Linked DNA regions of Mus musculus: region 2 is reported to be linked to region 1. Evidence: microRNA targets listed by miRTarBase, many of them from high-throughput screens and not tested one by one. Region 1 holds a microRNA gene; the other region holds the end of a gene's coding sequence.
Evidence for each region. The annotated mature microRNA mmu-miR-3102-5p reads GUGAGUGGCCAGGGUGGGGCUG and lies in region 1 at 1,903-1,924, opposite strand. An mRNA with a match to its seed (bases 2 to 7 or 8) in the 3' UTR can be bound and repressed. Matches are read on the target gene's strand: a 7mer-m8 pairs with bases 2 to 8, a 7mer-A1 pairs with bases 2 to 7 and ends in A, and an 8mer does both.

Region 2: miRTarBase lists Mxi1 as a target of mmu-miR-3102-5p. The part of its 3' UTR that is shown has no 7-base or 8-base seed match.

What each region holds. Positions count from the first base shown.
Region 1 is chr7:100,880,486-100,885,559 of GRCm38, forward strand. It overlaps Mir3102 (microRNA 3102), which reads right to left and starts at 1,924; the gene lies at 1,821-1,924. It overlaps Arhgef17 (Rho guanine nucleotide exchange factor (GEF) 17), which reads right to left. Exons shown (of 21, transcript NM_001081116.1): 4 at 3,283-3,399; 5 at 2,985-3,077; 6 at 2,631-2,807; 7 at 2,288-2,338; 8 at 1,925-2,034; 9 at 1,735-1,820; 10 at 1,208-1,326; 11 at 694-907; 12 at 116-189.
Region 2 is chr19:53,370,935-53,376,008 of GRCm38, reverse strand. It overlaps Mxi1 (MAX interactor 1, dimerization protein), which reads right to left. Exons shown (of 6, transcript NM_001008542.3): 6 at 2,716-4,436. The coding sequence ends at 4,273. Among named protein-coding and RNA genes, the nearest start is that of Smndc1, 17 kb to the left of the region's middle.

The DNA.
Region 1 (5,074 bases):
AATAATCACAATGTTTAAAATACATATGTGAGATGGTACACAGCACAAAACCTCATACACATGTATGTAGCTTTGAGTAGACACGTGTCTACATGGCCCACACGCACACACACACCTGCATGCCACTGCGAGTCTTCATGATAGGGATGGCCTTCAGGAACTCAGGGTCTAGACAGCTTTTACTGGATGCTGTAGTAGAGGAGACAGGGCAAAAGGAGAGAACCCCTGCTTAGCACCCACCTTACAGTGGCTCTGGTCCCTCCCCATTCCAGTCTCCCTAGGGAGGGCCGGGTACCAGCTCAGCTAGAATGAGAGGTCATGGATTACTCCGTTTGTGTCTGGCCTCAGTTTTCCTTTCTGTACAATGAGTAGCCCTGGATCTCTAAGCTGTAGACTTAATAATAACTTTCCAGGACTTAGCTGAGTCTATACTGAGGAAGAGGAAGGTCTTGGTGGTTCAGGCGTATGCTGGGGTCCCTGTCCCCAAACGACTCTGTCCAGGAGTTCCTTCCCCCCCAGGAAGAAGCTGGGAGCCAGAGCAAATGTCCAGCCTGCTGCTTCACTGTGGAAGTCTCAGGCCACCTTCCCTATCGGCCGCTGGAGGACAGGAGGGCAGTTCAGAGAGTCCTGGCTTCTACAGTCAGGACTGCACAGGGACTGTGAGAGAAGACACCAACATGAACTCTGGCTCACCCAGCTTCCTCTTGGCCTCATCAAAGGCCTGCTCAAAGCCCAGGCGGGCATCCGGGTGGGGAAACTCAAAGATGTAGGAGTCGGTGCCCTCGGGCCGGGTGGCGCACAGCTCCAGCTTGGTGGGCGGGAAGGCCAGGGAGCAGCATAGCGCCTGCTTTTCTGACAGGTCCCGGTGCATGGCGGCCGAGAGATCCCTCAGTGCATCGTCTAGACTCTGTGGGAAAAGAACCCAGGCCTCAGGCCAAGGTGTCACCACATGGGCACCTGCACCGAGGGGACCGTGGAAGGCAGCCTCCTCCTGCCACAGACAGGGATGGGCCTTTCTCCCCCTCAGAGGTCTCCTCCCTCAGACCCCGGACCTGTCACTTCCCTTAAGTGGGAGCAAGACTATAATTTTCCCCTTCAGATAAGTGACAGGACCAACTGCTCCCTCAGGCAAAAGCCAAGACTGTCTGTCCCTCAGGCAAGGTCAGGGGAAGTCCCAGCCAACACTGCCTTAGCTCAGGGCACAGACCTGGTGGGGGAAGCCGAGGCTCTCGGAGAGCTTGCTCATTTGGCCCAGGGTGGCCAGGTCCTCATCCAGGCGGCTGATGGCTTTTTGGATGGTCTCCCGATTGGTGGCTTGAGACGCCCCTGGCGAGGACAGAGGAAAGCCATGAACACATCAAACAAGGTCAAGCTTGGACAGACACACTTCCCTTAGCGCACAGCCTTCAGCTGAGCACGGGATTGGTCTGGCAAATGGGAGCACTTCCAGACCCAAGCTCTCAGAAACAAGGTCAACAGGTAGCTCTCAGAAAAAAAAAACAGGCCCGGGAGGAGAGGTCTGGTTTAGAGTCACAGGGCACAGAACGGCCAACTCTTGGAGAACTTGCTAGGGCACTAAGAGGATGATTTGCATGGAAACTAACCCGGTTCTTCAAAACCAATCTCTCATATGGGATGAAAGATGAGTCACAAGAGCAGACAAACCAACAGACAGGCAGGCAGACTCAGGGGAAAGCCACCAGCAGAACCCCTGACAGACTCAGCCAGCCTCACCCTTGATGATGTCTGTGTCTTCCAGTGGCAGCTTCCACAGCATCTTGTATTTGCTGGCTGTATCAATGACGCTGGCTGCTGTGTACCTGTGGGTAGCCAATGGGGTGCTCTGGCTGGGGCAGGGAGTAGAGCCCACAATAGATCAATGGCTCTCCTGCCTGCACCACCCAGCCCCACCCTGGCCACTCACAGGCTCATGGAGCTGCGCCTCAGCGAGCCCGACTTTCGTTTCAGGGTGGTACAGACAATGAGGTCTGTGAACAGGAAGAGGGATCGGTCCTTCTTGCCTCCAATTGCCTTCTGTAGGGTCCAAAGTGGCATTCAGGCTCAGTGTGCACAGTCTAGAGGCCGACCTACATTACCCTAGTTCCCCAGGAACAGCAAATCCAAGGGAGGGGTGAGGGCTCTCCCCCACTTATGTGGAATCGGGATTCATGCAGGGCTCCCATTGTGTGGTGCTTGGGGAGCAGGAACCAGAGGGCAGCAGGCGCCAGAGAGTGAACTTGGGTGGGTTGAAGGTACTTGGGGGAACAGCCAATGGGAGAACCCTTACCACTTCAATAACCATCTCCTGCCTCAGGAACCGCCGCAGGGGGGCCTGGAGCTGGTGGGTAGGAGAGAACTAGTTATTAGTCTATTAACCCTGCAGTGATCGGTTGACCACTCTATGAACGAGGTCAGCCAGAGCGACATCCTGTCCTCGCTTGCATCACTGGGCTGCCAGACAGGGACACAAGGTCAGACAGAGGAGGAGGAGGAGGAGGACACAGAAGGGTGGGGCACTGTGGTCACAGAAGCAAGCTGACCACAGACCTGGACGTGGATGGCCACAATCCGGGTGACAGATGAAGACACAGACAGGGACAAGTTGGGGCACGGCAGGGTGGGGCACGTACATCCTCCATGCCCTCGATGTGGGCTTCGATCTCCTGAAGCACGCGGGCATGCCGCTCGGCCTCCTCAGCGCTCCGCACACCCTTGTTGATGCGCTCAGCCACCTGCTTGATGTTGCGCTGAGCATCGAGCAGCAGTGGGTGGTCTGGATGGTCTTCCGGTGTGTGCTTCAGAAGGTCCTGGGGCGGGAATGGAGACCTGTTTAGCTGCCCTGAGGTATTGAACTGACTGCTGGAGCATGAGAGACCATGGTATAGGCATCAAGGAGGACTTTCTTTCCTGCCTGGAGTCTGAGAACAGACATACTCCTCCCCCCGACCCCCAGGGCCTCCCTGTCCAGCCAGGCCCGTGGTTACCTTCACCAGAAGCTCATAGCGTGGGATTCTCTGCACAGGCTTGATCATGAGGTCGGACAGCGCCTGCTTTTCCTTGTTCTCACGCATGCTTTGCTGAAACCGAAGGCAGAGTGGAGGGAGTTCTCACATGAGGACTGACACGGCAGGAAGAGACACGCTCCTAGCCAAGTCCCTCCAGGTGAGCCCAAAGGCAGAGGCTGACACACTTGCAAGCACCACAATGTTTTTGGTCAAGAGCTCCTGGGATGCCCAGAGCTAGCCTGACATGTTAGCTTCACCCCTACCCCAGTCCACATACCTCCAAGAACTTGAGAAAGGCTGGCCTGGCCTCCTTAGCTACACGCACAGCATCCTTTGCATTGAGGAAGTTATCAATATAGGCCGAATAGATGTTCACCAAGACGTCTTTGGAAAACTGTGGGTGAGGAAGCAGGTTAGGCAGGCTCAGGTGTCCCTCACCCACTTCACCCTGTCCTGGCTTCTGTCTATTTAACTTGAAATGGTCAGGCAGGTCTTCTCTGTCTTTCTCAAAATTCATACATGTTGCATGCATGAACGTGACTGAATGAGCAGGTGTGTATGTATATATATGTATATATATATACACATATATGTATACATACATACAAATACATGTGCCTAGATGTGTGCTGAGACAAGACCTGGGTTGTTTTTTGTTTTTCTTTTAATGTTGCTGCGGCTGTTGTTGTTGTTTATTTGTTTGTTGTTATTTGTTTTCACTTCCAGACAATCTATCACCAGGTCTCCAATCCCATTAAACCAGCAAGGCAGGCCTCAGACCTTCCTGGTAGTAGGAGTGAACACATTATTGTAGCTTCTGGGACTCTGCCTGTGCAGTTCGTTCCTCCATGAGGAACATCCCTCCCAGCACAATAGACCCACCCTTGGCACTGAGCTGCAGTCTGCTTTTATGGAATGTGCCTGCTGCCTGACTTAGGGGCTCTCTCCTGGCAGAATGAAGCCTGGCTCAGGACAGGGTTCACAGTGGTGGCTAATCCTGCTGGTTGGCTGATGGTAGGTGCTGGTGGGGGGCGGAGGAGAGGGCTTTTCCACAAGAGAGGACAACTGGGTTCCAGTTTCAGCTGCACCAAGGACAGGCTAAGATACAGATCTTGGAGTCCCTGATTCTCTAAGGTGCCAAATGTTCCTGTCTCTGGACATGGCAGGGCTGAACCTGAGCCGATGAGGGAGGGCCTGCCTTGTGGAGCTCCCTGTCAGCCCACAGACAGCAGCCAGGTCCAGACAGAGAGTGAAGGCAACAGCACTTAATCCTACCTGGTGGCACCAGTTTCCAAGGAGCAAGGACAAACTAAGGCCTACGTACATAGGTTAAGACCCCACTCTGCGTCATAAGGAGCACATTTAAACAAGCTTACGGCCCAAAGGGGAGAGGACTTTTTAAATTTGCTATGTGGAACATTTCTTCTTTTTGGCATGGAATTTTCTGGAAGGATTCTCTACAGTTTTGCTTTTGTAACTACATGGCTCTAAGGTAACACTTAATTTGAGTTTGGCTATGATTTATCAGTCATCGTTAAGAATTCTTGGGAATTAAAAAATGTAAATTAAAAGTTTTTTGAGTATAATTAAACTTATATAAATAAATGCCAATTTAGGAAGAAACAGTACATTATGTTTGCAGGAGTTTAATAAAATGAAATGTTTTGTTTGCTTGAGACAGAGTTTCTCTGTGTAGCCCTTGCTGTCTTAGAACTCCTATAGACCAGGCTGGCCTTGAACTCACAAAGATGCATCTGCCTCTGCCTCCAGAGTGCTGGAATTAAAGACACGTATCACCACCACTCAGCTTTGTTTGTTTGTTTTGTTTTTTGTTTTGTTCTGTTCTGTTTTTGTTTTAAACTTTGCTTTTGTGGCTCTTCTGGAATTCGGAGCTACCACGGAAGGACTGTGAGGGGCTCACGGGATGCTGTGGCTCCTAGGAGGAGGAGCGTGGCAGGTGACATGAGAGGCCAGGGCCCTAGGATATATACTATGCAGGATAATGCCCAGCATGCAAAAAGCGCCGGACAGTATGAACCACAGTTATTAAAAAAGGAGCCAGACCGCGG
Region 2 (5,074 bases), not on the chromosome of region 1:
CACTAAATATTAACCAGGCACATTAGTTATACAGTGGTCATTATCACTGGAGAATGCACTCAGCCTTGGGTTAGGTTTTAAAAAATAGGGGATCACTAAGACATAATTGATCTTCTGTAGCCTTTCCTTAAAAAAGTACTTCAGACAAAGCTAAGCCAGGTCAAGTGCAGTCTATCTGGAGATTGAGGTGGACCATTTGAACTAAATACAAGTTCAAGTTTTATGTGTATGAACCAGGATTTCAGAAATGGGGCTTTTTGGTAAAATAGTCCAAATAAAATTTGAAAATAGTGATGGAATGCATTAAAAAAACGGGGGCTGGGAGGATAGTTAGGGCTGGAAAGATGGTTCATGTGGTAAACTATTTCCCTTGCAGGCATAGGGACCCAAGTTCAGCCTTAAACTCTTTTCTTGGTTTGTTTTTAAAAAGCCAGAGAGCCAGACACGGTGGCACATATTTTTAATCTGCCTCTGGGAGGCGGACGCAGATGGATTTCTGAGTTCTGACAGCCCATGAGACTGTATCTCAAATCAATGATTAATAAAGAAGAATTAAGCCAGTAGGTGGAGAAGATGGTTCAGCTGTTAGGAGCATTGGATGTTCTTCCAGAAGACTGGAATTGAAGTCCCAGCATCCTCACGGTGGTTCAAAATGGCCTGTAACTGGTTCCACATAATCGAATGCCTTTTTCTGGCCTCTGTGGGCATCAGGTATACATATGCAGACACACATGCAAAGAAATACATAAGTAAAAAACAAAAACAAAACCAACATGCATGGGTGAGTGTGTTTGTAATCCCAGTACCAAGGAGTTAGACTGGAGGATCCTGGGGCTTGCCAGCTAATGAGCCTTGTCTGTTTGGTAAGTTCAGGCCAGTGAGGGGCCCAGGCTTATAGATGGTGCCTAAAGAATGATGCCCAAAGTGCATGCACATAAGCACATGATTACCTCTGGCTTTCTCTTTAAGCATTTTGAGGGCATGAAAGTCATTTACATGTATTGGTTCAAACCGTGACATTTCAAGACTGAGACAGTAAATTAACACTGTAGGAGGAAACAGGCTCCATGGAGAAATAGGTCATTTGCCCCAGGGTCTGTCACATGTTGGGGCTGAGGGTAAATGGAAAGTTTTATTAATTAGATTTTATCTTGGGATTTTTATTTTTTAAAGGTGGGATGGTAAAAGGGAAAGATAGTGGCTTTCAAGAAAAAGGGGGAAAATTGAATATTTTAGGCCCAGTCATTCCTCAGGATATATGAGCCAAGAAACTTTATGGCCCTCAGTTAAGAGCTCTGCCTCAATTCTCAGCTTTTAAACATTTTTGTAATCCAAAAGACAACTGTCATGAAGACTTAGAAAAAACGAACAACCTTTTTTTTTCTCTACAGTCCTTACCTCTGCTAACCAGAACGGAATTAAAATAACTTTGTCAGGCTCCTTTGGTATATAAACAGGTATGGGAATTACCTGTACCTTGTATGAAGATATAAGAACATAGGTAGAGGCAGACATTTTTCTAAATTTGAGGCCAGCCAGTTTTAAAGAATATACATACAGGCATTAGAACACCCTAAGTAAGGTTAACGAGGCAGTGAGAACTGGTAGGCTCCATTGCATATGGTGGCAGAAGAGATTCCCAAGAGGACATCTTTGTGATGCTTGAAAGTAGTTATCAGCTGTCAACACAGGGAAATACTACAGTCGAGTTGTATTGAACTAGAGTAGATATCTGCTAAACTGTACAATAGGAATGGTAGCTGAAATTCATACTGCTATTCTAATATCTAATATAAAAGCAAAATACATTTGGAAGGCAGTTACCTAAAGATATGGGCACTCAAGAAATTTTCCCTTCACAGAGGGCACTGAGCAGGTATCCCTCAATCTGGTTTTTACTTCTTGCATAACTAGTCTTTAAGCCAACCTGTCTTCTAGAGAGTTAACATGTAGTCACAAAATCCACCCATGTCCTCCTTCCCCAGCAGCATATTTGATGTGATGTATGTGGAGGTTTGTAATGACGGCTTGCAGCCCATCATCCTGTATAAACACAAAATGGCCGCATACAGAGGTTGCCTGAATGATGTTCCAAATTTCAGTCCTGGGCCAAGATGATGTGGGTCAACACCATGGGAACACAAGAAGAAGTTGTAGTTGGATGGTGGTGGTGCACACCTTTAATCCCAGCATTTAAGAGGCAAAGACAAGTGGATCTGAGTTTGAGGCCAGCCTGGTCTGCTAGGGCTAGAAAGAAACCCTGTCTCGGGACCACCCCACCCCCAACCCTGCTCTTAAAAAAAAAAAAAAAAAAAAAAAAGGAGAATAATGCAGCCACTCAATGGCTTCCATTTACTTTCCATGGTAAGGACAAACTTTAAGAGAAAGCTCAAAGACAGCCAATACACACACACATCTTACCTGTCTGGGAGTGACTGCAAGGGAAACCAGAGGGTTTCTGCATTCTGTCCTCAGCACCTCAAGTGCAACAGGTTTCAGCCGAGTGTCTGGAGGCATGCAGTGTTTCACAAACAGCTACTTCAAAGAACCTTTTCATTCAGACACAGCCCAAGCAACGGCGAAGTGCTTTTGCAGGCACAAAAAGAGCACTGGGTAGTGTGTGCTGGGACCTTATGCATGACCAAGGCGGTATGTTTCTTGTATGGAGACGTGCTATCCACGGAAGATAGCTCTGACATTAACACACAACTCGACTGCACTGCTAAATATGGTTGTTTTTATTTTCTTTTTCCTTGCCCAGCCCTATCTAAACATAAAATAAAACTACAGGACTGAAATTAACAACCCATTAAAATCAGCAATAAGTTATGAAAATCATAAAGCTTTTTTTTTTAAGTAATTAAGGGTAGTTAAATTATTTAAAGAATACAAAGTCCAAACAGCTTGGGGTAAGGTCTCCAGCAAGGCTTCCCAGGGAAAAGCAGTGGCCCAGAGGGAAACCTGAGAGTTTGAAAGACAGAGGGAACACATGACATCAGAGTGCAGGCTAGAAGTTCCACTTAGAAGATAACATTTCTGAAGGGATTTGTAAGAGCAACAATAGCACCCGCACAGTGGGATTGTGGGGGAGGAGACTGCCTGTAGAAAATCTTTACATTAAATGAGACAAGTGCTGAACGTAACTATGTTAACTAGGATAGTATGTCTACTATGGATATCAGATGGTTAAAGCTGGTAAAAGGGAGTGGTCCTAAAGAAAACAAAAACAGCATTGACCTCCGTCTACCCAGCCCAGACCTCGTCCGTCTGTCTGTCCTGCGCACTGTGAAGAGTGAGGCGTGAGGTGTTTATCATTATCAAATGCTGCATCAAAATAGATGATTTCCCCACGTGGTTTATTCCACTATAAAAGACATCTATGTTTTTACTTATGGACAAGCTTTAAAAAGATGTCATTTTGGTTTTCAACACATACAAACAGTTATCAAAATCTCAAATAAAAATGCTGCGGTGGCTCAGACCTTGGCTGCTATACTGCGTGCGCACCTCCTCAGCTCCGCGCAGACACCGAGGCACACAGAGCTTTTCCTCCTGTGATTCAGGCCGTCATGCATGGGCTGCCCCTACGTGGCCGAAGGGTGGCGAGCGGGTGGTCGGCTGCTCTAGAGCTAACAATGCAGGTAAGGTTAGCTGGCTTAGCATGGAATCCAACAGAAAGCCGGGCTGCGTCAGGGCCTCTTTCAAAAGGCTTCATGGAGTCTCTCCTTTTGTAGAGCACGATATGAGCTTTTTAAAAATTCATTTTGTTTAAAAGAACTGATCATCCACAGGCTTCATGATAAACAGAGGCTGAGTTTTAATAGCTCTTCAGCTATCTGAGATTAATGCCTGATTATCCTGCCTTTTCCTTACTCTAAGTGTGATTTTGTTTCTAGGGCCAAGAAGCTCGGGAAGGGTTCATAACCCTATCCTTAAATGTCTGCTCACCACCACAGAGTGAGCAAACTGCAACAGGAGAGTGAAGTCTCCATTGTCTCTCAAGTCAACCTGGTCAACTCAAGATAATCACGCGCATGGTTTCTGCTGCCGTTAGAAACTGTACTCTTTCCAAATATAGGAATATTTGTTCTACCAGGGAGGCTCTACCCCACTTTTCGTTAAGTATTTGCTTAAATACAGGTCTTCTGACCGTTTTGTTCAAGTATAGTTTTTAGTTTTAAAGAGGAGACTGCATCATGAACCCAATTTGAGAGCCGGTGTTGACTCGGCCCAGTGAGCGCTCCGCCCTGCACTGTTAGGCCATGCTGGGTCCTAGGACGCGAAGGAGAGTTTGACACTGGCACTGGAATAACCCTCGTCACTCCCGACACTCTGCAGGCTGCTGTGGTCGTCAAGGTCACTGATGCTGGTGGTACTGACACTGTCTGCTTCTCCATGGGAGAACTCTGTGCTTTCCACATCCACTTCAATCTCCTCTGCGGGAGGAAGAAAGAGAAAACAAAGGGGGGCATTAATAATCTGCATGTGCACTTTCAGAAGTTAGAGAGGTTATCCAGCAAGGTTATCCGTGCTCTATCAGGGACTCTCCTGCAAAGAGCAATCTGGTATACAGTGGTGGTCTTAATTTAGGCAGCAAGTTTACTAAAACCCTTTTGACGCCAGTCCGTCTAGACCTCCCACTAAAAGCGCTTGGCCTGTTTGGGAATTAGTACTTAATATTAAAAGATCCCAACCCAAGTGGTTTAACAACATCTGTTTTACATTAAACCAAAAACTAATTCACAGCTCTGTTTATTAATCAGGGTTGCTTTAAAGAGGTTGGGGTCATGGAGAAATAAAATTAAAGATAGAAAATTTATGTTTAGGCATCCGAATTTTTTGGTGGTGTCAACTCTCTATCATAGATCATAGGTGGATCTATGGATTTCTATGGATTCATCAACAAATTCTGAATAGTAACTAAAATAAGCTAATCATAAAGTAGGTTTAAGGGGTTTGCTTTTGATTTTCTTGCATGAAATATAGCTTCAAGCCATGTCCCTCTCTCATGGTAAGAATTCTGCATTTTCTTTCTCTCTTTCTTTCTTCCTTGCTTCCTTCCTTCCTTCCTTTC